Arabidopsis thaliana: one gene and its partners. The protein of the gene in region 2 purifies or fractionates together with the protein of the main gene of each other region. This does not show direct contact. Each region holds a gene or a part of one and is shown on either strand. Other genes may lie near its edges.

Region 1 (9,712 bases), on a different chromosome or scaffold from region 2:
CTTGATCTTCTTTTTCTAGAAGTAAATATTAAATGTCACAAAAATGAAAACAATTCACATTTGATTTTAATTAAAGATGGACGCGTGTTTTGGCAGCTTCCACTTATCAAATGTTTCAATTAAAGATGGAATTTAAGATACTGTTTTAAATTCCAATAAGCCCATAGTTAGCCCAGCTTCATACAAACTTGATGCTCTCCCCATACAAATGGTCATTGTTGGTAAAGAACTTGGATGTTATGAATGTGATTACCAAAAAGAAAACAAGAGAAGATTCTGAAGCCCACGATTGGGCCCAACTTCAAATTCCTATGTATAGTCTTCTGCGGGAAAAAAATCAGAGGAAAAGAAGAACACTTTTTTAAGGTTAAAAAAAAAAAAACCTTGTTGCAACTTGAGAAAACGACAACGATGATCTTAAATCTTCCAAGGGATTTGATAGAGGATATTGTATCTAGACTTCCCATGAAGTATATGAGGACATTGAAATTAACTTGCAAAACGTTGTACGCTTTATCCCAAAGTCAGAGCTTTATGAAGCTGCACATTAGTAAAGAAGCAGCACCGCGTAGAACAGGATATGGACATGTACAGGTACGCTCTAGGGTACGTGAACAAGAACAACTCTTGTCGTAGCCACAAAGTCTTGAGGTTTATAGATCATTACATCTCTTCGGCCGTGAACCACGCACCCGAAAACCGGTTTTCATGGTATGAAATCTACGATATTGAAACCGATTTATGGACAACTCTTGATGTCCCTCCATATTGGATAGTATCGTGTTATCAGCGTGGTGTTTCTCTCAAGGGAAATACCTACTTTTGTGCTACAAAAAGTAACGCAATAAACAAAATCGACGATCACATAATCTGTTTTGATTTCACAAGTGAGAGATTTGGGCCACTTTTGCGTCTACCGTTTAGCGCTGGCCATGATGACTATGTGACTTTATCTTGTGTTAGAGAAGAGAAGCTTGCGGCTTTACTTACGCACAACGACTGGAATCCATATGAGTTTGAGATATGGATCACGACTAAGATCGAGTATGATAAAGTGTCGTGGAGCAAGATCTTGGAAATGGATACAGGACCATTGGCTGACATGCCGATTGCATATATACATGGGAGTTTCTTCATTGACGAGGAGAAGAAAGTCTCCATGGTTTTTGATCACCACAGAGTCAACATCATTGGAAAAACTGGATATTTTAGAGAATTGGATCTCCGAGTACATGTAGCCGGCATAAAGTGTAGGCCACATTTGTGCCCTTACGTTCCAAATTCAATGCAAATCAAACAACCTCCGGGAGGCAAAAGGAAACGAAAACCCATTCTAGAACAGCGTCGATATGACCAAAACATGTTGAGAGTTGCCGCCTTTATAAAGCGAACCAAGCAGGAGGATAATAAATGGAAAAAACGAGTCCTCGAGGGTCTGAAGAAGCAAACGAATTTTAAAGCCTAATTTAGCCTCCTTCGTTTACTCACTCTTTTTCTCATTGAATAAGATTACTATCCTTATTTTGTTTCTTCCTATCTTATGCAATATGATGAGGATTTTCTAACTTTTGTTACTATCGTTCATTTGTTTCTTCCTATCTTTTTCGTGAACAAAACGTTTGTTAGTAAGACCAATTCAGCTGCGTCTTGCTATTTGCGTTTCTTATATAGAAAGATCCAACACTAAAGAATTAAGTATCAGACTGGAGGGACCTGGTGCAACACTAGTAAAAACTGTTCTACACTCGGAACTACATGACTTGTACTTATAATGAACAAAACTTTCATAACTAAGACAGATTCAGCTCCTTCTACCGATTTCTGTTTCTTATAGAGACTTCACAACAAGCAGAAGAGGATATGATAACTAAGAGCTTACTGTTGATGCTGGCTCTTCAGGCTCAGACCGCGGACTCTCATTAGATTGTCTAGCAGATATGACCTTGTCAAGGGTTTGATCAGGGACAGTGATCCCTGTGGTTTCCATATCTGCAACTATGGCGATGGCTGCATCAAGTTCTCCAAGGTCCAAACACAATGTGATGATCTCATCGTACAACGGGCTGCAACAGATTTTTACCACGTGTATTCAAATGTCATTGTTTATAGTCAAGTTTAGTCATATCGAACGCCTTAGACTAGCTTCTCTAACAGACTAAACCCAAAGAGAGGTTGTAACTGAGTTACCTGCCAAATGAGTAGCCAAGACTGTGTGTCGTCTGCAAGATCTTCAAGAAGGCTGAAGGCATGGGAGCTCTTAAAGCAGCTCGTAATATCACTGCACAATCACCAATCGTTGGAATTCCACCCAATTCAATCACCTACACAAATTTATCATTATTATTAACATGAAGGATCATAAAACAATTTGTGTAATAATGCTTTAGAGGCTTGAAGGAACTCCTGCCTTTGTCATGAGCACAATTGCCAACTCGACTTCCCACTCTTGTGACCATTTCCTTGGAGTTTTGTTCTTAAAATCCTTCTCCCATGTCCAACCCCAAACGTCTGCTATTGTATACATGTCAGCCACATCGAACACTTTTCTTTCCCTCATTTCTTTGAATGCTTCAAATGGTTCCTCAGGGAACCAATCCTCATCTGCATCATCCTGATATGGAGGTAATCGGCATTGTGAAAACATGCTTAAACTATCAAATTCATAATCATGTGTCTACTTAAATCATAACCATATCATAGTGTGTTATACGTACTAACCTCAAGTGTCATACGAGATGCCCTCTTCCCACGTTTCTTTGTTCTGTTTGCTTCATCGGATTCTTTCAAGAGTTGGACTCCAATCATTTGAAGATGCTTCTTCGCGTCAGCTGCCTTATTCTTCACTAAATCTTCTCCTTCTGCTCGATTCTCAGTTTCTGGAACAACCACTTCTTCCTCTTCATTTTCATCATCATCCTCATCTCCTTCTTGTTCCTCCTCATCATCATCCTCCTCATTGTCAGCTTCTTTTGAAATATCTTCAATCGCTTTCTCCGATTCACCTGTAACCACTGATTCAGTCGTTTCCTTGGATTCAACTGAAGTTTCAATCAAGCCTTCTCCAAGAAACCGACGTTTCCAGAACTCTGTGTCTCCTTCATGTAGCTTGATTCGACATATTAAATCGTCTACTTCTTCATCGACCTATATCAAAAACAAACTTTTTTAGATGTAACAAGTACTAAAGATGCATGTTTACCCGAATGAAAGAAAGAGCATAAGCATAAATTTACCTCCTCCTCTTCTTCTTCAATTGGAGGAACCCAAAGAGGTCGACCTCGAGATTTGTTTATTCTCCTTGCTTTTTGGACACGCTGGTAAAGCACATTTCTTGTTCCATCAATTGGCAAACCCTGAGCTTCGAGTTCTTCCTTTAACTCTGATACAACCATCTTGCTTGCTGCTTTCGGCTTCAAAAGATTCAGTGCAGGACCTTTTATTATGTTCCGTAATCTCTCCACCACTCTCATGTAATCAGATTCTGATGCATCTCCTAGAACTGGAAGACCTTCACTCTGTAAGGTTCTCAAGAGCTTCCTATGGTGAACTTTCCAATCTTCAAGGCATCTCTGTTTAAAGGATGTTTCAATAGGGTTTGAGTATATAAAACCAGAAGCATCGGGATCTAAAGGAGTTTTCCCTCTTCGAGGTACCCAACGCTTGCGTTCACCAGTAAGTCCCCCTTCCTCTATGTACCTGAAAATGTTTACAGAATGCGAATCTTAGTATATCAAGACAACATGTAAAAAAAGACACTATACTTCCTTTCTGACAATTAGAACAGAGCATTAGCGTATAACTTGTAAATGGGAGGATAGAATCTGATCAACAAAATTCCAGTCAAACCACGCAGAACTCAAGTTTTTACCTCGCTAAATAATCAATCTCATAGCCAAGTTCAGCTTCTTCTTGCAATGGTTCAATCCATGAGCTGACTAGTGTTCGATACTTTCTGCTCATAATCATGGCTCTTGGAGGTATAGGTTGGTTATCTTTGCGCATTGCATCTAAAGCATCAATAAGCTCAACAATTCTTCCTGGTTCAAAGGTAGAGGGTACCGTTTAAAGACAGTAAATTTAGCATGTCCTAAAAATCAACAAATATAACGCTTAAGTATAAAAACAGAAATAAGGGAAATAGAGAACCATAATCATAAATCGTTTTAATCATAAGTTCTCATGATCTCCCAGAAGGTGTTCAACATATGCCTCTGCATATTATATTGACACAGGTACAAGTGTATGCATACCTTCTCGACACAAAGCCCTGAGATACAAAGAGAGAGGATCCTCAAAATTCCCTGCATTGTGTAAAATTACTGTTCCTCCTTCAAAGTTTTTAAGAGCACGAAAATGTCTAATCGCTTCCTTCACGACACAATATTTGGTGAAGCACTCAACTAAGAGCCTGAAATGGATCATCATACAGATCATATTAGGATTTTTACAATAGAACAGGTAGAAATGCAAAGTTGGTAGAAATGAGTACAATACAGAAATAATGATTCTCTTACGCATAAGTCTTCACATTTGGCTGCACACGTTTGTGGTCCTCAACCATCATTCCAAGTAATTCAGCAACATCCTGAACCCTGTGATTCATGCAACAGGCTACCTGAAAATTTGTCCACTTCTAAGAGAAATGTGTGCAATCAAAAACTCATAAGAATTACCTATCATATGACTCGGCTCTAGTGTAGGCTTGAATCACCCAGTTATATGTCTCAGTGTCAGGCTTCATAAATACTACCAAATCAAGATTACATCAAGCCATGTCAAAAGCCATCAGGCAACAACTAAACCAAACAATTGAAGCGGAAATTAGCTAAGAAAAACATACAACCTTCACCGTACTCCATATTTTCGAATGTAGCATAAGCTACCTCGGGAATCCCACATGTAGCCTACACAACGGAAGCAAAGAAAAATGTAGTTGATGTCAACAAAAAGACTTACCATCTTCATTATACAAAGAAGAAGTGTGTGTATACGTTCTAAAAAAAAACATAACAAACCTGCACACTAAGAAGACAGTTGAAATGAAATGTTGTGGCCATTCTACCAGCTGCCTCCATTTCGTAAGAGATGTCTAAGGCATTAGAATGATCTCCAGCTTTGCAATCTTCTTCAATCATCAAATCATAAAGCTGATCTGTTGCTCTCATCCCACCTCTTGCACCCTTCAAGAAAACTTTATTCGCATCTTCCAAGTGATTGATCCTCATGAGCTCCTCTATAAAAGACCACAATCAAATTATAAACGATTACTCAGTAACCTCAATCCTGGTAGACACAAGCAACAACCATTTGATTCTAACACATAGTCTTAGTAGTAAGAGAGAATACCAACAAGAATGAGCCAAGCTTGACGAATGTCATACTTAAGCTTTTCCATAGCGGCGAGGATTTCTAGGCCTCTCGTAGCATTCCCTTTCGAACCAGAGAGACGAACCAAAGCAATCATAGTCTCAGGAAGCGGACGTTGGCCTGCACCTAGCTCCTTTCTCAGCGAGTGCATCTGCAATCACACACAAACACACACCAAGCAAAAAAAAAAGAAGCAATCTTTCAGTTCAAACACACTCAATAAGCTATGAGAAAGAGTAAAGTTCTAATTTTGATACAAAAAATTTGTAAAGTCTTAAACCATAACTCAAGTTCTATAAAGCACAACAATTCAAATTCGATTTAGTTTAAGCTCCAGCATTGTATGATTTCTTAAAAACATAAAGTCTACGTCTTTAATTTAAGCTATAGAGAGAAGCATATACCGCGCCTTGTTCGTCGCCGTTAAGCGCGTGAGCTACAACCAAACCATGGAAAGAACGAGGTCCAGGGCTAAGCCCAGCAGCAATCATGTCATAGATAACCTCAGAAACACCTGAAGTATCTCGATTTCTAGCTCGTTCCATAAGCTCGTCCATAAAAGTGAGGCGGAGACTCCTCTCCAGAGCGGAGACAGCTTCACCACTTCCGAAAGACAAAGAGTCGTCATTCTCAGCTCCGTCGCCGCGCTTCTGCTTCCTCCTCCTCCTCGGTTTCTTCTCCGGTGCAGAAATTGAGCATCGAATGGAGGATATTCCGGCGGCACGACGAGGAATTGGGTGGATTGAATTGGAGGGAAACGGAGGATTGAGGAACAAGAGTGACATTTTTTTTTTGCCAAAGTCTGAAACTTTTTTTTTACTGGGGAATGGATAAAGTGATTTGAAATTTAGATTTTTATTTAATTAAAATGTAGACGATGATCATGTGCAGATCACGTGAGTTAATTGGATTGAACCAGACAGAACCGAACTAGACCAAATTGCATTGAACAAGATTTATATCAGTAGTCACATAACCGAACTAAACCAAGTAATATTTTGTTAATCGGTAGATTATGCGGTTTTGAGATGGTCAATGATGGATGCGATCTTTCCAAAGGTTAAGGGCTTTGACAAGCAGTGGTCAACTCCAGCTTCCATGAATGCCCTAGTCTCGTCCTCATGTGACGTCATCCCCACGATCATTGACGTCACATTCATGTCACGTAGCTTCTTATTTCTCGCCGTTTTTCACCATGTAAGGGAATCCTCCAGCCATTTGAATGATTCCCATGTGGAGTGTACGACAAGATGGATCATCGTCAACGACCAACACCGTTAGTTTCTTCTTATATATCAACGACATGTTCTTCCCAATTTCTCCTCTCGATTCTTTCTTCTTTGTCTTCATCATTCATATAATCACAACAAGAACCCAAAAGATCAAGTATATAAGCTAATCATGTTAACTCTTATTTTTGGAAACAAGAGTATTACTCAAAATAAAAGGAAATACTTGGAATACGTGTTGAAAATTTTAGAGATAGTAAAAAAATGGAAGTTGTCGGTGAAAAAAATTATTTGTTCTACACTTACAAAAAGGAAATCAGTTTTTACGAATAGTTTCGTTTACTGGTATGAGTAATTTTTCCATCTTAGTTAGGGTGGAGAAAAATGCTAAGCATCCACACGGGAAATCTTGTTAATTAGTGTTTGAAGACTTTGCGCCGAAGTAACAAAAAAAAAAAATGTGAGCTTGAGTTATGTAGTAGAGGAATATTTAGTTTAATTGTAACACATTTCAGATAAAATGATCGAAAATGCATAAGAAAGAAAACAGAAAAAGCGGACATACAAAATTTCACACAAATTTTGTCAGAACTTTCGTAATCCACATTATAATACACAGCGTTTTTCTTGGATATCATTAATTGTTGAACCACTGATTCCTGATATAGTTTATAGATAACACTTTCATATATTTTCGAAAGTAATATCAAAACAAAAGTGAAAATAATTGTATTTACAAACATATGAAGATGTTACGATGCCATACGTATGTTAAATAAAGAAGCAGAGACAAATAACACAACACGATCTTGTTTATCTAAACAAATCATAATCTCAAAAAGCTATGGTATATATAGAAAATATTCGAACTCATCAATCCTTTGTTCTTCGGTTCAACCTCCCAAGCATTTCCGAATCAAACCAATACACCTGAAAAGCCAAGTGAAGAATTGGTTTGCCTATATATAACAAATTTGAACTTTCCAGAGAGACATAGTAGATGCTTTGAAAAGTGAAGTACAGATATAGAGTTCAAACAAAACAACTCAAAATTAAAGTGTAGAATATAACTCCACTTCAAACACTTACACAACCAAAGCTTTTAAGATTTAGAGTCACGAGTTATACGGCTGCAAGAAATGTGGTCACAACCAAAGAAATTCAGAAACGTTAAATTTTTGTTTGATGTTCTTTTTCTGATTTAATTCAAAACAGATATCAAATAAAAATTTAACGTTTCTAAATAAATAAATAAAAAGATGTCCAAAAAAATTGTGTTATAAAGTCAAAATTAGAAGAAAAAAAAATTACATTTTATGTTCTGATCTTTAGACCCATAGCTAGTTTCTTGATTAAAAATTTGTAATAATTATTATTTATAGTGCAACATTAGTATAGGTACTTTCTGAGTGTATAGCACACAATGCTTAATCAAATTTGGCTAAGATGATACACGCCGTTGAAAATAGAATTTACTCTTATTTACACAAACCTTATCAAATCCAAAGTAAGATATGATGTACCCAGTAGTAGTACCCTATCTTCTTAATGACATATAGTATTGGACAAAATAATATGACGTATATATGCGAAGAACAAGAATAAAATATATATACATTAAAAATATGGAACGTAAACTGGAATTGAAATAATATGAAATATTATGTAAATTATGTTTTTGAAAAATAGAGAAAAGAAAATAGATATAGCTAGTAAAGTGTTTATATTTTCATCTTTTTGAATAAGATAAACAAAACATAAATATAGTCAGATTCGCGATATATATTATTTTTGTAAGTATTATAATTATTCAATTAAATTAGCCAGTTACATTACATATTTACATACATACATTATTTTATTTTTAGTAAATGTGATAGTTATTTAAAATTTAGAATTTATCGCGAAACTATGTATAATTTTTTTAAAGTTAACTGATATGGAGATTTGCATGAGCCATATGAAGTAAATTAGCTCATTCAACAAGAGAAAACCTTATTTTAATATTTTATTAGCCAAAAGAAATGACTTGCATGATTTTACCTCGGACGATAAGAAAATAAATCAAACATAGATATGAGAAACCCTATATCACAACAAATGCAGATTTTTGTGTCAAATACACGTGTAGGTGATTTCATGATTGAAAATATAGATACATTAATGAGCCTTCATCCATCAAGCATCGAAGAGGTGGCTAATGAGCGGGAAGATCTTGGCCTTGGTTAAGGGTTTTTCCAAGCAATGGTTGAGCCCAGCTTCCATAAAAGCCTTACGCTCTTCTTCTTGGTCAGCTACTGACGTTACCCCAACGATCATTGACGTCACTTTCATTTCTCTTAGCTTCTTAGTTGTCTAAATTAAATCAACAAAGAACATAAAAACTATATTAAAGAGGAGGTTTTTAAGTATAGTGATGATCGACCCACTTAAATTGTCTATTTGGTAAGCAGATTAAGATTCAAGATCATTAAGTACCGAAACTCCATCCCTCTCAGGCATTTCCTTATCCATTAGAATAAGGTCGAAAGATGCTTCGCCGTCACGGTGGAGGATCACTGCCTCCTCGCCATTCTTTGCAGTCTGAGAAATTCCTCCGATCGTTTTGATGATCATCTCGTGGAGTCTACGGTTTAATGGATCATCATCGACGATCAACACGTTGATTAGTTTCTTCTTCACTTCTATCGACTTGGTTTTCTCGGTACCTCCGGTGGATTTTGTTGCCATCTTCGATTTCTTTTCTCTCAAGAATCTTCACCAAAAAAAAAGAAGTAAGTTAAAAATGAAATTAAACTGTATAGAAATTATTGCGTGTTTATGTTTCTATGTGTGTGCGTGTGTGATCACACCGTGCATGTATGGTTTCGTGTTTAATTTGTATATAGATGTATCTGTATCACATATATTACATAAGTATAATGAAATAGTGGCCTACGATTTTGGATTTTAAAGAAGATCTTATGTTCTAAGAAGGTAGGCATTGCATCAAGATTTATAGTTAAGAAAGAAAAAAAGTGAAAAGAAAGCATTTTAAAAACATCACAAAGAAAAGCATCTTTTACATGAATTTGGCTGAAATGTAATCTACATTATTCTAAGTGAGTTGTATAACA
Region 2 (9,260 bases):
GAACATAAAGTTGTTCATAGTCCATTTCTCAAACCATATCTAACAAATCCCTAAGTTTAAAGTGATCAAATTTATGGAATGATAAAAAAAAGTTTCAATCGAAGAGTAATACCTCGTTTCCTCTCGATTTTGCCGTTAGAAGAAGACATGGGAAGAGCTTCATCCGCCGAGGCGTAACCGGCCGGGGTTTTGTTCATATCTTGTTCATCTCTATCTTCGCCGTCGATCTTTGGAGTCTCCGCCGTCTGTTCATAGTCAGACAGATTGTTCAAACTCACGCACTTTCTCATCGGGTCAAGCACAACCCTGACTCCGAACAGCATAATCTCTCTTCTTGTGCCGCTTCCAGCGCAGGCGGTAGTGGACTCCGAAGAACTAGTACTACCGTCGGCCATGATAATCTTTCCGATTTTGCCCCTTGTGCTTTCTTTCTCCTAAAGAAGCAAAGTACACAGAGCAATGGGCAATGGAGTGGTGTGAGTTAGATCTGAGCTTCTTTGGGGACCCTTTTATAAGCCAAAAGCCACGTGGTTCCTTTTTAAACTATTACATGTTGTAGGTGTTGGTGACGGTACCATATGACACGTGTTTTGTTTTTATTCGTCTGTTCTTGTATTTTTTTCTTACCTGCCTGTCTCTCTACAGAGTTTTCATTTGGATAGACTTTTTTTATTCATTGGCTGACTAGATTTATTAGGTTTTTTGTTAGTAGTTTAATTAATCTTATAGGATGACGAAAAAAGAGTTAAATAAATGTTATCCTATAATAAGAAGTTAAAAAAGTATTTCGCTATGTCGACCAAAAAATGTAGGTCGTATAACGAAGAAATATTTATTGACTTTCGCAAACTCAAAGTTAAATACAAAAAAATGAAATAACAGAATGAGAAAAATGAAATGAAATCGACGCTTTTATTTTTCTTAACGTTACCCTCATGTATTTTTATGATAAAAATCTACAGGTTATAATGTACTGGTCAACGCAATGTCTCTAAGGCCTAAGCGCATGCAACTTGAGCTTAGAAAAATAGTCAGCTTCTGAAATGATTCTGTACTCTGCTCTAATAATCTATTTAGTTACAGCTCCATCCTTGTACTTTTTTTTCTTCTAAAATACTATATCTTGTGGATCTATGAGTTGATTATTAAGAAAAAAATCTTGGGAGACAGGTGAATCCTTTTTGGAAATTATAACTTTGAATTTCAACACAAAAACTTACAATTTCAGGAATCTAATTCAACAACAAAAATGATTGTGTAGTCGAATTTGTCGTTTTCTAGCTAAGAGTAAATTTTAAGACGCTGTTAAGGACCTAATTGTAGTATAAACAGCATGATCGTATGTCCAGACTTGATCACAACTATATAGCATTAAAAAACAAAAAGGTGATAGTTTTAGTCTTTTAGTAGAATGTTAGGATGTGATTTGACTGTAAGCAATATGATCACATACTATTATTATTTATCTATTTTAGATTTGTAGGGAAAAGATTCTAAAAAGTATTTACAAAATTTGGTAAATAGTTTTGGAAGACAGCAAAATCACACAAAGCACTAGCATCGGTTAGAAAGCAAAGCCACCATTACTTTTATGCGCACACAAAGTGGAATCTTAAAGTTGTAATGTGTGAAGCACTATAGGAAGATCCTTTCTTTCTCCAATCTTTTTCTTATTTTATTACCAATTTGGATGACAAACTTGTAGTGACTTTCCTAAATCAGAAAACAAACACATATCTGAGGACGAGAGAGAGAAAAAGATTAATCAGACCGAAGAAGGAATCTTGCACAACAGATTGTTTTCTTTATTCTGGGTGGAGTTGGGTCATTGCTATGTAATAAGTTAGATTTCGAAACAGAGAGAGTTCATCAGGTGAGGTCACAAGCAAAAACTAGAGCTTCCCTGAGGAATCTTGATTAATAGATCCTTTAATTGTAACTAGAGCTTTGATCTTACATTAGCATTTAGCTTTATAGTAATCAAAAACATAGTTGAATGGAAAAAAAAACGAAAAAAAATCTATGGCTGCAAAATCATGGGTCTAACAATCCATCAAAACACTTAGTTGGCTACTTACTTGAGATTTTCATATAGACGCTTCTTCATATAAACTAAGATCACCATTTATCTTCTTCTCCAGCTTCTTCTGTCTAACAGAGGTTGACTCTACTGCTTGAAACCATAGCATAGTTATCATGGATATGGAGTGCTTGTGAAATACGCCCACAGTTTTCACCCACCAGTCTATATGGAGGAAGGCAGAAGAGGCCTTTGATTTCTGGACTTGGCAACAGAAACTACGTTGTCTAGTTCTTAAGCTGTGCTCCCTGCTAGTTCTTTTTTCGTCCTGGTTCTTCGTTGTGTAGGGTTACCGCTGTGGTTCGTGTCACTGCTTGTTGAAGCTCTTGTTCCAGCCGCAAATATTGGCGAGTTTGCTAATGCCACTAGGTTTTTATTTTCGGATTCTTCTGAAGTTGGCTCTTTCGTTGACAGTAACTGCTTGAGCTGAGATCGCTGGCACATAATGCGACCTCCATTCCATCCCGTGAAGGAAAATGAGGACGAGACATGATCCTGCAAGAAGGAGAAAGCAGCTTTCGCGATAGGAGATTCTCTTGCAGCAGAGCTTTTCTCCAACTGTCCCCGTCTGAGAGGTTAGAAAGAAAGAATTAAAAAAGGCAAAAGGCAAGATAAAAAGCTTGAAGGCATCTTGCAATGAGGTAGGTACCCAGTATCAAAATACTTACACTGAAACAACAACAGCTAGTTGAGGAAGATCTCCCTTTAAAAGCATATCATTTATATCATTTAGCCAAACCGATAGTGCTGTATACATGCCACCCTCTGACATCCTGCAGAACATTGAAAACCAAGAATTAGATTGACTGGTACTCAACCATTTCATACACATGAAACGAAGCCAGTGTAGGGATCTTAGGCTACCTATGTACATCGACAGACCACACAAGTTTGTTTTTCCGGAATAACTCAGGGAAAAGTCCACGCTTTGTTGCCTCATTGAGTACTCTTGCAGCTCGCTCTTTCTGGCCCAGCCACCACAAAGCATCCAGAAGTGCATTGTAAAACCTTATTCCCAAACCACATCCTTCTGAATTGAGTTTGTCCAACACGTATTCCACTATCTGCCAATTTGAGTCATCATCATAATCTCCCTTGATCATTTGCCCAATAACTTGATGAATATTTGATACTCTATTTGAAAGCATCTCCTCCAATAACTCATTGACATCGTCCCACCTATAAACCAAAAAAAAAATTTGAAGTGTTGCTTAAAATCTTAAGATGTTATATACAAAACAATGGCTAAAGTTACTGCTTATCCAGAACACTCAAGTTAGCTGCAAGAAAATTAACTAGGGTGCTACATTACACTAGCATATCTCCCCCATGCCTGACCATGTATAGACAGAAGGCAACTGAAAGAGCAAAATGCTATGATGATGGAATAAATCATCATGCTTAGTAAGGTATGAGCTATAAAAATACACGCAAAAGAAAACATCAGAAACCGTGTATTACTGGCGAAGGCACTAACCTCTCCGTCTTCCCATAAACAGCTAGCATCATACAGTAGCACATGATACTGGGCAGTATATCAGAAGCTTTCATCTCCTCAAACTGCTCTCTGCACTCATCAACAAGCCGCGCAAAAGAATACACACTTAAAACAGCCTCAAGCGTCCTTTCATCAGGATCGCATCTTGACTTCTCCATATCTACATATGTCTTCACAGCCTCTTCAAATTTGCCTCCTTGCTTGTACGCTTCTATCTGTGCATTGAACGTATCTCTGTTCCTGGGAATACCAGAATCCACCAACCTGGACAAAATCGCCTCAGACTCCTTGACCAGTCCTCCCCTTGCAAACGAATATAACAGTGAGTGGAATGTTTCAATACTTGGATTGCTTCCTACTTCATGCATGGTGTTGAAAGCAACAAGCGCTTCTTCATATAAAGCAGCCTGCCCAAACGCTTCAATAACCCCAGTGTACGCCTTGGAACTTGGCACGATATCGTTAGCTGTCATATATTGTAAGATCTTCCTAGCATCTTCGTGAAGTCCCCCCTTCCCACAAGCAAATATTATACCCTCATATGTCTCCATGTCCGGTTCAATATTCTCCTCCACCATATCATGGAACAAAGTTACCACCTCCTTAAAATACCCCCCTTCCCCAAAAACCTCAATCAAAATGTTATATGTAGCAGCATCAGGATCCGTATTGCTTGATTTCATCTCAAGAAAAAGCTGCCTCACATCATCATACCTCCCACTCTGTCCAAACAAATTCAGCAAAACACTGTATGTATTTGCGTTCGGCGTACACCCTGCAGCTTGCATCTGATGGAAGACCCCCATTGCCTCCTTAATAGACCCGGATTTCGCATATGCCTCTAACAACACATTATAAGAAGTGATATCCGGCAAACTACCGCCGGAGGCCATCTCGCCTAAAAGATCACATACTTTCTCCAGCCGGCGTAACTTCCCAAATGTCTCAACTAGATGACTATATGTGGTTAAATCCGGAACAATCCCACCATCATTCATAGTCCTAAAAACCATTTCAGCCTCATCACCTAAACCTCTAATAGCACAAGCACTAAGCAGTGTATTATAAGTCACGATATCAGGTTGTATCCCCTCATGTCTCATCTCTGCAAACAAACCCAATAAACCCTCCCAATCTAAACCACCTCTAGCACAAGCATTAATCACAGTGTTGTAAGTCAAAATACTAGGTGATATCTTTTCATTCTTCATCCTATCAAGAAGCTCAAGAGAAGTCTCATACCGTCCATTTCGACCATAAGCATTGATCAAAGCAGTGTAAGAGAAAACGCTGCGGGACACACCTTGGCTAGGCATTTCGTCGAATACCTCAAGACATTTATCTAGTAGACCTTCTCTACCAAGCAAAGAGATCATAATAGTGTAGATATGCTCGTTAGGTTTGCACCATATCTGCCGTTGCATATACTTGAAGAGACGAAGCGACCTTTGCCAATCGCCGCGACCAGCGAACTCTTTGAACACGAGTGCGAAATCGTTCAACGAAAGCTTGTTTTTGAATATGTCTAAGCACCTGGCGATGCTCCCGCGTGGTGGGAGACTGCTCAGCTTGTTAATCAGCGATTCGACGTCGTAGCTGTACTTTCCTTTCTCCACGGAGACGGAGGGGTTCCCGAGAACGAGATCTTTAGTCTTTGCTTTGATTTTACCGGAGAAGGAGCATGGTTTACGATTTCCTCCTGAGAGGAAACGGAGACGGTTGCCGTCGGCGAATCTCCGGTTTCCGATGAAGCTTGAATTCTGGATGAGGAAGGAGAGGTGGTGTGAGTTGGGATTTGGAATTGCTAGGTTCATTTTGGGTAACTAGAGTTCACATAAGGATTCAAAAATCCTCCAGCAAGTGAAACGAGATTTTCTCGGGAAAATCGCAATTCGATTTGAATTGAATCAGAGATTTAAGATTAACGGCTAAGTTACTAGTCACCACCAAGCTCTAGACAGAAACGCACGAATTAAGATTGGCAGTAGAATAGTTTAGAAGAAGAGATTTTCTCACCCAAAAGCTCGCTCTCTAGGTGAAATGGCGGAAAAATGGAAGAAGAGGGAGGGGCTTGAAGAAGACACGTGGATTCTTATTGTGGATAACAGTCTCGAGTAATCACCCGGTCATTACCCGGTTTAATGATTACTTCCCGGTTTTAATTGGTTAACTCGATATTTTTCGATCAAAAAAAATTGGCGCCTAAAATTGCAAGAAAAGTAGTATTAGTGTACACTAGTAAATAGTAGAATACAATTACATTGGTAATATATGTTGTAAACTAGACAATGTTCTATAAGTCGGTTTAATTGTCCATCCATCTTCTAGGCAATCGAAACTTCAAAATCATTTGGATATCTTAATTTTGGTTTAATCCCATGAGCTAGCTTCTTTTTTAGCTGTCTACCATTTTTTTTTTCTTTGAATGTATCTACCAAATATGGAACATTATATCATGTCTCGTATTGGAATAGTTGATACAAAATTCAATAATTAGAACTAGCTACAATATAGTCTTTTGTTTGGGGTAAAAGCTACGAAATCTAGTGGTCTAATTGTCTAAATGAGGTAAAAATTAAAAGTCCAGTGTATTTTGAAATTGTAAATTTATCACCGAAAAATGTAAAAAGCAAAAGAGAGATTACGAAAAGAGTGACGGAGATAACGGGAAACCGTACCGCCGTTTGCAGTCTGAAATGCTGAAGCTGACGTGACGTGTGGTGTGGCGTTTGAGAAATAACATCGAGTTTTTAGGGGTAAATAGGTCTTTATACTTCTTTCTGTTCCTAACAGACAGACGCTTCAAGGAAACACAAAAAGAAACAAAAAAAAAAAAAAAAACCTTTTTAGCTTTTTCTTTCTTCTTGGCGAGTTCGCGACCTTGGTCGGAAAATCAACAATCGCTTCTCTGCAATCGCATTATCGGCTCTAATGGCAGACCCAGAGGTACAATTACCTTAAACCCCCTCAATCTCCTCCTCTCACGAGTTCATTTTTTTCGATTTCGGATTTTTCTTCGTTTAGTTTCGTTCTGTTTCTTCTAGACCTTGTTTCTCTTATCGGACAGAATCTTGTTGCTGATTTCGCTAATTTTGTTTAAATTTTGGGTTTCACGATGTGGGTTTTGTCTTGCTTTTCTTTTCGGGGTTTGCGATGATTTTTTGTTCGTTTTGTTTTGGGTTAACACAGACCTTAGCGGCGTTGAAGAGAGCCTACGCCGATACGATACTGAACACGACGAAGGAAGCGGCGGCACGTGTGATGGTTTCTGAGAAGAAGGCGCGTAGGTATCAGCAAGAACTTGTGACGGTTAGAAATGAAGCACTTCATACGTTGGTTAGGCTTAAACAGATGCTTGATTCCAAGGTACTATCACTTTGTTCTTATTTTCATTTGTTTATGGGTTCTTGGTTTGTTTTATTTGGTTTCTGCCTGATTATGTTTTTGGGGTCTTAGAGGCATTTCTTTTTTCTTGCTTCATATGAAGATGGCTTTTGAAATTAAGTTTTTCAGCCTTGCTTTCATGGTTTTAAGCATTGTTAATGTTGTGTGTGTGTGTGTGACTCTGAGTTTTGTTTATTCAGTCTTTGACATTTGAAGTGACTAAAATCTTCCATCATTCAAATGATATGCTTCGAGACTATCATTTTTGCTATGTTTTTTCACTACATTCACTTCATTGAACGTTGATACAAGCCATTGTTTTTGACACTCTTGAGACTATTACATTGATACTTTGCAGATATAGCTTTTCTCTTCCTCCATTGATATTTGTTCATGAAACCTAAGGCCTAAAACTAATGAGCGTAACCAAGTGTAGCTTAGTGTCAGCAAGTTCTAGATTCGTTGTACCATTGTTGGCAGTGAGGCTTACACATATTTCATGGCTTATGCTCTCAATTCTCATTTCATCGTGAAATTTTTAAGTTAAAGGTTTTTCAGTGTGGGGGATATAGCTTTTTCATCTTAGAGACTGTATCACGTTTGCTTGAGGATGAGCTTTCCCTAATGGAGTATATCTTTCTTTTGTGGCTGGCTTTGCGTTTCCTCCTCAACTCTAATTTTTAAAAAACCGATTTGTGTTTATAGGTTAAGGAGACAGAGATGCAATCCTTGAAGCAGCAACAGAAGGTTGAGGAACTTGAAGCTCAGCTTGGAGAAGCTGAAGATATTGTAGGAGAGCTGAGGTTGGAGTTGAGAGTACTTCACGATGAGCTCAAGAAACTTACGGATGGTCAGAAACATCTTAAAAAGAATCATGAGGAAAACCTCTGTTGGAATAACCGTGATGCTGCAGTTTCTGTAATGCCTGAGGTTTCTTGCAGTCACGAGAACACAGAAGCTGTAGGTTTTTGCATCCCAGTGGAACAAAATGGATCAGTGGTGGCTAATGGGATAAAAGTACCGTCTTTGACTCGCATAAATAGTATTAACCGGTGTTCTTATAAAGATAACAAGGATCAATGTCACTACACTCTTCCATCTATACTGACAAAACGCAGGGAAACTGAAGGTTTAGCTCAGATGATCCACACAGTAGATAGCAGTATGGCCAATGGGGTTCTGTCTTCCTCTGTAGAAGTAGGAGATGTGAATGATGGAGTATGTCTTCACGAAGTTTCGTCTTGTAAAATTGTAGAGAGCTTAGAAATGTCTGGTTGTGCTGATGCTACTGACTCCATATCTTCTGTTAAAGATGGAGAAGCCCCAATAGTGTCTCCAAACTCTTCTCAGAAGGATGTCGGCACTCTTATATCCTTGAAAACATCTCCTCCGAGGGAACATGAAAATGACAGAAAGCTGGAGATTAGCGAAACAGAGGCAAGGAAGGAAGAAAAAGAGAGCTGTGAGAATATGGAGGTTTCTGCATCTCCTTTGTGCGAAGAAACTCCAGTTTTAGCACTGAGTAAAAATCGGTGCATCAAGTACACGTTCAAGAGGAAGAGAAAGAAGGAGGTCTTAAGTAATCTTGAAGGAGATTCCTCGTTTGAGGAGAGTAGAAACATGAAACAGAAGACTGTTGAGAAAGACGATGGTTACTTGGAGTCTCTGAAGCCTAGCTTTACCAGTGAATCATCTAGAGATGTAGTCTATGCTTAGCACATGTGGCTTGGAAGGTTAGTAAATATCGACATACATCTAATTTGCTATATCATATTAAGTTTATTATGTTTCCTTCTTGCCTTTAAACTTGAAAGTGTATGGTCTAAAAACTGATATCAGTAGCAGTGCCCTTTTGTTGCATTATGGTTTTGGGTGTAAACTCTTGTCCATTGTGATGGGTTTATATATATATGATGTCCAAGATTCTGAATGTTCTATGTTTCTTTATTGTATTTTAATGGGCACAGCTTGTACCATTCTCGTAGAATAAAGATTTGCAGCAGAACTAATCAACCAGTAGGATGCTCCAGCAAAATGGTTATAATCATCTAATATATAAGGATAGGTGGAAACTTTAAAATTCTTACTTACACCTGGATGGTGTAAGACTAAAGAGCTACCATTGTATTGCTTCCATTTCGTACCTATGTAAATAATCTTACGTAGAAGTCTTTAGCAAATACTAGTTTTTGTGACTTGGTCAAAGTTTATTCATGGAAATTTGGACTTGCGACCATGAATCATGGACTAAATAAGGAAATGTTAATCAAATAAATAATTTGACTCAAGAGATTGCGA
Region 3 (7,390 bases), 2.1 Mb from region 2:
TTCCAAAGACGACGACACGTCTTACTCTTCCTCGCTATTTTCCTTTCTCTTCTTCGATCTCTACGTTTTCTTCTTCGTCTTCTTCTCCTTCTCCTTCAGCTCGACCGCCAAAAACCGCCGGTAGTAATGGCGACGAAGAAGACACTTTTGAATGTAAGATAAAATAAATAAACCTTGTTTTCTTTGACTGCCTCTCTGTTTTCTGGGTTTTAGGATTTGTTTACGGTCTTTCTGTGTGTTTGCCTTTTTCTTGTCTTTAAGGTGTTTGTTAAAATGTCTCCTGCCTAAAAAATGTATCTTCTCAATGTTGCTTGCTCTCTCGCTTCCTTGACCTTATGATTTTAATGCTTTTTCTTGTCCTTAGAATCTGGTATTTCATAAAGGTCATAAGATACTAATTGGTCTCATAAAACATTGCTTCCAATCAAATTGGCAGATAAAGCAACTGATGATGTTGAGGTCATAGAAGATTGGGAAGAAGACGAAGATGAGGATGTTGAATCACAGGTATATCTCTTTCTACTACATTTTCACGTCAAAATCGCCACTCTGTTTCTTAGATTCTTATAAGCTAATCTTTCTTCTGTTTTACAGCTTGGTGATGGAGGAGATGGTGGTGGAATTGTTCTTAAAGGTGTAGCATGGGGTGAAAGAGTTCTCTCTATAGCTGCACAAGTTTTGAAGCAGTCTGAGAAAGACTTGGAATTGTTTGCTTTCAAAACTTCACCGCGTGGATATATATACGTCAGACTAGACAAACTCTCCACTGAGTAAGATTCTTCACCCTTCTATATCATCAAACCATTGCAAAAGAGCAGTATGTTTTGAGAATTAACGAAAGCTTCTTCTTTTTTATTGTACAAAAAAGATATGGATGTCCTACCATGGATGAGCTTGAGGAATTTAGTCGAGAATTTAAGAAAAGACTAGATGATGCTGGGGCTGAAAAAGTAATCCCAGAGGATCTAGCCCTTGAGGTCAAAAAGAGTCTTTCCCCAGTGAATCAACTCTCACTTGGTTCAGTTTTGTTACAAAATTTTGTTTCCGTTTTTTTTTTTTCTGTGTAGGTGTCATCTCCAGGAGCGGAGAGGCTACTGAGAGTCCCAGAGGACTTGCCCCGATTCAAGGATATGCCAATGACAGTAAGCTATGTAGAAGAAACAAACTCGAGGAAAGCAGTAAAGAGTGGAGTGTTCCTCTTGGAGTCTATAGATGCAGAATCAGATAACTGTGTCTGGAAATTAGCAGATGTAAGGGAGAACAGAGATCCCGAAAGCAAAGGCAGACCGTTAAGCCGGAAACAAAAGGACTTGAGAATCACACTGCCTTTCGCAGATCACAAGAAGATAAATCTCTACTTGGATTAGTTAAGTAGACGTAGAAGTAGAGTTGCTATTAAAGTAAGTTCATCGTCACTGCAGTTTCACATTGCTGTTTCCGGATAATTTCAAGTGATTTTGTATTAGTTGAGATGGTGAGTGAGATATCAAAACATATGACAAAAATTCACACTACTAAGATGTTGTAAGATGTGAACAGGAAAAAAAAGCTGACTAACAGAAACATTATCAAATCTTATGAAAATCATAAACTACCATCTTCAAACATTGAGCCAACAAGCTCTAACTTCTTGTACTCCCTTTCCTCTACTGGTTTCATAACGTATGGACCATCTGGTTCATCATAAGGCTTTGAGGTTCTGTATTCCTTCTCTGTTATCGATCTTATACCGTTTGGATCTGATTCCACTTCATCTTCTTCTTCATCATCTTCTTCTTCTTCCATGTCATCCTTTGGAGGATATCCTCGGGTTTGTGCCAGCAACCATTGATCAATAATACCACACTCAATTGCATATCTCGCTGTGCGTTCCAGGTACCCTTTATTGTTCATAAGATCTGGCTGAACCGTAAGCATTCTTATTAGACCTGAAATAGAGAGTAGTGTGGTTCAGTTAATCGCAAGCATAACTTCCAAATTGCTATGAAAAACAAATGACACAAGTGAAAATGTACCTGCAACGATGCCATCTCCAGATGCTGACATATCCCTTGTAAAAGGAGTAATGGGAACATCCTCCATTCCGGAAACAGCACCATTGTGCTCTTTGGTATAGTAATGGATCTTAGAAGTGCCATTGGTCACAAACAAGACCTTGAGATTTTCATGCCAAAGCTGTTCCACAGTTTCTGGCGGGTAATGGACAAACTTACTGATGTCATTGTTTTCTGTATCGAACTCTTCAGTAGGCTCGATTCCGCATAAGAATTCAAGTTCCTGTTTTGTGATTTCAATGACGTCTGCAAGATTCCACACTTCCTGTATGAAAGACTTGGTTTCTTCGCTGGAGTGCCATAGTGGTAAAGGGAGATTCAAGTCATAAAAAATGACATTGCCTAGTTGCTTTGATATCTTGATGGCTTGTATCGTAGTTGACATCATCTTCTTATCGAGTAGAGAATGCGTGCTGAAGTAGAACATTTTCGCCTGCACCAAAGTTAAGAGATTGGTGAACAAGAAAAAGAGCCAAAAACTCAATGTTCCAAATCTCCAGGACAATATATTACCTCTTTGAGCACATCAACGTTGATTTCAGATTTTGAAAGTGAATCCTCTGCACATGGCTTAATACAAGTCGATTTCAAGCGACCTCTCTTGCTGATCTTCATAGTAGAACACGCCGTAACCCTTTTACCATCAATCTTAACTGATCTAGTTTGGACTTTGCACACATTCAGATAATACAACATGGCTTGACCATAGTCATCAGCCCCAAGTTTGCCCATAAAAGCAACCTTACCACCCAAGCTTGCAAGAGCAATAGCAACACCTCCTGCACATCCTCCAGGAGCCCGGATATACTTCTCTGGAGCCCACTTTGCATCTCTCATCCGTTCGTGTAGTTCATAATCTAATAGCCTGTTTGCTGGCCTTCCCGAAGGCACAAAAGCATGTTGTGCAGATCCAAAGCAACACACGAGAGGAGGCCATCCATAAGTGTGACTAATATCTTCACCTTCATGTTTACTCAGATCAATCTCTTCTTCTTCACTCTCTGTATCAGTGCTTTCAACAGCCAATGCTTCCTCGACATCACTAACCTCAGCATCCATAATAGTAGCTAAATCATCCTCCACATCTTTATCTTTCTTAACAGTCCTCTTTCGTCTCACTTTCTTCTCGGTTTTTACTTCCTCCACATCAGAAGAAGCTGCTGCAGCTGTATATATGTCGAATTCAAATTAAGTACTCGTGAATCATCAAGTGAGAACCATCAGCTCAGAAATGGTAAAAGTCATTACCTTTCTTTCTAGTTCTTGTCTTTTTTGGTTTCAAAGCTGAGACAATGCTTTCCTTGTCTAAAACATCATCATTATCAACCAAAAATTCAGAAATTTCTTCTAATGGTTCATCCTTAACCACAACCTTCTTCTTCGTTGTTCTCTTAACACTTTTAGATGGTTTCTTTCCCACAACCGCACCGTTTCCATCATTACCTTCTTCTTCAAGAGGTGCTGACTCTGATAACTTTCTCCTACCAGCAGCCATAGAAAAGCTTTGTTTCCCATTCCATCTTTCACCTCTAAACTTCACAAAACCATGCGACTGGAGCAGACAAGGAACATCTGCATTGCATCTGCCAAAATCAAAGCACAGCTATGAGAAAACCATTACATCAAAATGTGAAATTTTCAAACAGAAAGACAAATATAGCCCTCAATTCAAATCATTGTTACTCCATTCTTCTGTAGAAAGATAAGATGAGCTAAACTTAAAGTTCGCACATTTTTGGGCAGTAAACTGGTTCTACGCCAAATCCATAGAAACCCATATACTAAAATTTCCTAAGGTTAGAAAACAAGAGAGAGAGAGAAGCAAAGGGACCTGGGGAATGATAAGAATTGGGTGAAGGAGAGAGACGCCATGAACATCAAATAAGAGCTCTTTTCCAAACGAAATTGTAGTAAAACTAAGCTCCGAAACCCATAAAGTCGAAAGAAGCGTAAACCCAGAAATGAACAAAGGAGAGCAATATGTTTATGAGTTTTGAGGGAGATTGGGGTTTAAGCTCTGAAACCGCAAGAGGAGCTAGCTGGGAGAGGATGAGGAGGAGGTTTAGCGCTTTAACGAAACGGCAAGCATTCTATGATCAAAATACTAAAACGTCAAGATGTCCCTATTCTGTCTACTATAATTTATTTACGGCTCATTTTTCTTCTTTAAAGCTAGTGAATTTAGTATTGTCTATATGACATTCTTTTAATGTAGGTAGAAATATTTGTTATGTAAAGTTTTTCGTGAAATCGTTTGCTATTAAAAAACTACTTCAAGGAAAATATTTTGTTGTGAAGTTAATTGGCTCATCATCACAAAGCTACAAAAAACTTACGATTAACTGAAATCATAATTACTATGATGATTTACGAGTAAATGATTTGATTGGCATAGAAATAATGCCTAAAGATGGTGTGATGAAAAACTTAATACAATTCTAACACGAGGATATATATATATATATATACTGTATATTTATTTATTTTTCGTCAAAAAATATAGACTGTATATATGTTATGGTAAAACGGCTATTTTTTGCTATATAGTGAAAATAATATCGTCTGGAGTTATAATAATTAGAATTTTGTATGGTTAATTAATTTCTATTGGTAATGTAACCATGAGTGCCTTGAGTGGAATGAAAGAAAATTGATGTAGTCAGAACAAATCTATGAAAATTTTGATATTTTTTAAAAATGGAATGAAATAGCTGGAGACTAACACACAATTTTCCATCATCTATCCAAATATATGTTTAAATGGTAAAAGATAGAATAGATAATGAAAAGAATTATGAGAGATTCACTACCAATTTCAAAATTATGAGAGATTCATTACCAATTTCAAAATCTCTCTAAAAACAAAGTTTTCTTCTCTTTTTTCTTTTCTTTTCTAGATCTTCATATCTAATTCAAAAGAGAAGCTGACTTTTGACGAGCGTGAAAGACAGAAGGTACTTGGATAACACAACAAGTTCAGAAAAAAAGTAGGTGAAAATTGGCTACCACCTTGCCTCTCTCATACATAAGTATTGTTTACTTCCTTGGTTCTTAAAATATTAGAACCCATTTTTTGTGTTTCTAATAATTGTTTCGTTGTTATCTAAGACTAAACTCATAGTTTTGTATACTTTAAGGTCAGATCGAAGCAGACAATACTGATATTTTGGAGGAACCTATTCTAAAATGGGTTCGTATCTTTTTCATCCGTTTCATTTTCGTTGAAAAAAACAGCGTTTACGTTTTGATACACTAATTTCTGTTAAGTATTGAATCATATTTCACCTTCGAAACATGTTTTGTATATGACTCAGATTTCACATCTTTGGAAACAACAACTTTCGAAGAAGTCGTGATAGCTTTGGGAAGCAATGTTGGAAACAGAATGAATAATTTCAAAGAAGCTTTACGATTGATGAAAGACTATGGGATCAGTGTAACCAGACACAGTTGTTTGTACGAAACAGAACCTGTTCATGTGACCGACCAACCAAGATTTCTCAACGCTGCAATAAGAGGTGTCACAAAGCTCAAACCTCATGAACTCTTGAACGTTCTCAAGAAAATTGAGAAAGAGATGGGTCGTGAAGAAAATGGTTTAAGGTATGGACCAAGACCACTTGACTTGGACATATTGTTCTATGGAAAGCACAAGATAATTTCTGATAAACTTATCATTCCCCATGAGAGAATCTGGGAAAGACCATTTGTTTTAGCACCTTTGGTAGATTTGCTTGGAACGGAAGATATTGATAATGATAAAATAGTTGCATATTGGCATTCACTCTCAATGCATTCAGGTGGAATTTTCCAAGCGTGGGAGCGGTTAGGTGGTGAGTCATTGCTTGGAAAAGACGGTATTATACAAAGGGTTATACCAATAGGAGATCATTTATGGGATTTTTCTAAGAAAACTTATGTGATGGGTATACTTAATCTTACTCCTGATAGCTTTAGTGATGGAGGTAAGTTTCAATCGGTAGATACCGCGGTTTCTCGGGTCCGGTCTATGATATCTGAAGGTGTAGATATTATTGATATCGGTGCACAGTCAACACGGCCGATGGCCTCAAGAATATCTAGTCAAGAAGAGATAGATAGACTGATTCCGGTTTTAAAAGTTGTTCGCGGTATGGCAGAGATGAAGGGAAAGCTCATATCAGTGGACACTTTTAACTCTGAGGTTGCTTTAGAAGCAATAAGAAATGGAGCTGACATTTTGAATGATGTATCCGGAGGAAGTTTAGACGAGAACATGCATAAGGTTGTTGCGGATTCTGATGTTCCTTATATGATCATGCACATGAGAGGAGATCCATGTACAATGCAAAACAAAGAGAATTTGGAGTATAATGAAATATGCAAAGATGTTGCCACAGAGCTTTATGAGAGAGTAAGAGAAGCAGAACTCTCTGGGATTCCAGCTTGGAGGATTATGATTGATCCAGGAATTGGATTTTCTAAGGGAATAGATCATAATTTAGATATTGTCATGGAGCTACCAAAAATCAGGGAAGAGATGGCTAAGAAGAGTATAGGATTGTCTCATGCACCTATACTTATAGGACCTTCAAGGAAGAGATTTTTGGGAGATATTTGTGGTCGTCCTGAGGCAAGTGAAAGAGATGCTGCAACTGTTGCTTGTGTTACTGCTGGGATACTAAAAGGTGCTAATATCATTAGAGTTCATAATGTTAGAGATAATGTAGACGCGGCAAGGCTATGCGATGCAATGATGACGAAAAGGTTCAAAAATGTTGATTAGTTGATATGATTTGTTGTATGGTTTTAAGACTTGAGATGTGTTAAAAATAAGTTTATTTTGTTTTTCCGTATGAAATTCAGAAGAATTTAGTTCATTTTATAAAGTTTATTGGCAGTTTTAAAATCCCTTTGTCTATTCGCAGTTGTAAAGTTTCTTTTAAGTCTTATTTGCTAGCCTTTGTATTCAGCCCACAAGAGTTTAGTAGGATCTCTTGTCATAAAAAGCCCGATACTGTACATTATGATTCATTTTCGTATTGGGACTTAACTCACAAAGTACACATAAAAAGTACTCATTTGTGATATTTTTAGATTTCATTTTACCTGTCATATCGGTATTAACAACATTTGAGTATTTTGGGCATAATCAAATTTATGACAACCGATCGAGGTTAGGAAAATTTCTTACTAATATTTAAAATATATAGAAGAAACTATACCTACACAAAACAAACATGAGAAAATGAAAATTTAGAATAGAAGAAAAATAAAAATAAACAGATAACTTAGTCTAATCAAAAACCATAAAGCAAAACGTTAAATGGAGGCGTAAGATCAATAAAGTTTAATGT

The links. Proteins that work in one complex are often made in the same cells at the same time.
Region 1: the proteins of PTAC2 (region 2) and PTAC3 fractionate together in Arabidopsis thaliana (co-fractionation; one large-scale study listed by BioGRID). This does not show direct contact.
Region 3: the proteins of PTAC2 (region 2) and FLN2 fractionate together in Arabidopsis thaliana (co-fractionation; one large-scale study listed by BioGRID). This does not show direct contact.

Annotation. Positions count from the first base shown.
Region 1 is NC_003074.8:1,121,364-1,131,075, forward strand, and holds PTAC3 (plastid transcriptionally active 3), read right to left. Parts: upstream 6,219-9,712; 5' UTR 6,153-6,218; coding exon 5,772-6,152; intron 5,519-5,771; coding exon 5,347-5,518; intron 5,234-5,346; coding exon 5,016-5,233; intron 4,905-5,015; coding exon 4,844-4,904; intron 4,747-4,843; coding exon 4,674-4,746; intron 4,593-4,673; coding exon 4,515-4,592; intron 4,409-4,514; coding exon 4,251-4,408; intron 4,038-4,250; coding exon 3,869-4,037; intron 3,697-3,868; coding exon 3,234-3,696; intron 3,145-3,233; coding exon 2,719-3,144; intron 2,612-2,718; coding exon 2,408-2,611; intron 2,322-2,407; coding exon 2,188-2,321; intron 2,064-2,187; coding exon 1,868-2,063; 3' UTR 1,585-1,867; downstream 1-1,584. Other genes in the region: AT3G04250 (F-box associated ubiquitination effector family protein), read left to right, coding at 587-1,465; AT3G04270 (two-component response regulator ARR22-like protein), read right to left, coding at 6,541-6,720; RR22 (response regulator 22), read right to left, coding at 8,775-8,951, 9,075-9,326.
Region 2 is NC_003070.9:28,116,923-28,126,182, forward strand, and holds PTAC2 (plastid transcriptionally active 2), read right to left. Parts: upstream 5,656-9,260; 5' UTR 5,393-5,655; coding exon 3,558-5,392; intron 3,260-3,557; coding exon 2,945-3,259; intron 2,854-2,944; coding exon 2,749-2,853; intron 2,649-2,748; coding exon 2,315-2,648; 3' UTR 1,742-2,314; downstream 1-1,741. Other genes in the region: AT1G74840 (Homeodomain-like superfamily protein), read right to left, coding at 113-395; AT1G74860 (uncharacterized protein), read left to right, coding at 6,510-6,524, 6,768-6,944, 7,668-8,678. UniProt on the Arabidopsis thaliana protein: Involved in plastid gene expression.
Region 3 is NC_003070.9:26,012,560-26,019,949, reverse strand, and holds FLN2 (fructokinase-like protein), read right to left. Parts: upstream 3,927-7,390; coding exon 3,886-3,926; intron 3,638-3,885; coding exon 3,303-3,637; intron 3,221-3,302; coding exon 2,568-3,220; intron 2,488-2,567; coding exon 2,016-2,487; intron 1,929-2,015; coding exon 1,585-1,928; downstream 1-1,584. Other genes in the region: AT1G69210 (Uncharacterized protein family UPF0090), read left to right, coding at 1-153, 437-507, 595-770, 869-977, 1,068-1,367; AT1G69190 (Dihydropterin pyrophosphokinase / Dihydropteroate synthase), read left to right, coding at 5,241-5,244, 5,369-6,819. UniProt on the Arabidopsis thaliana protein: Required for proper chloroplast development, most likely through regulating plastid-encoded polymerase (PEP) dependent chloroplast transcription.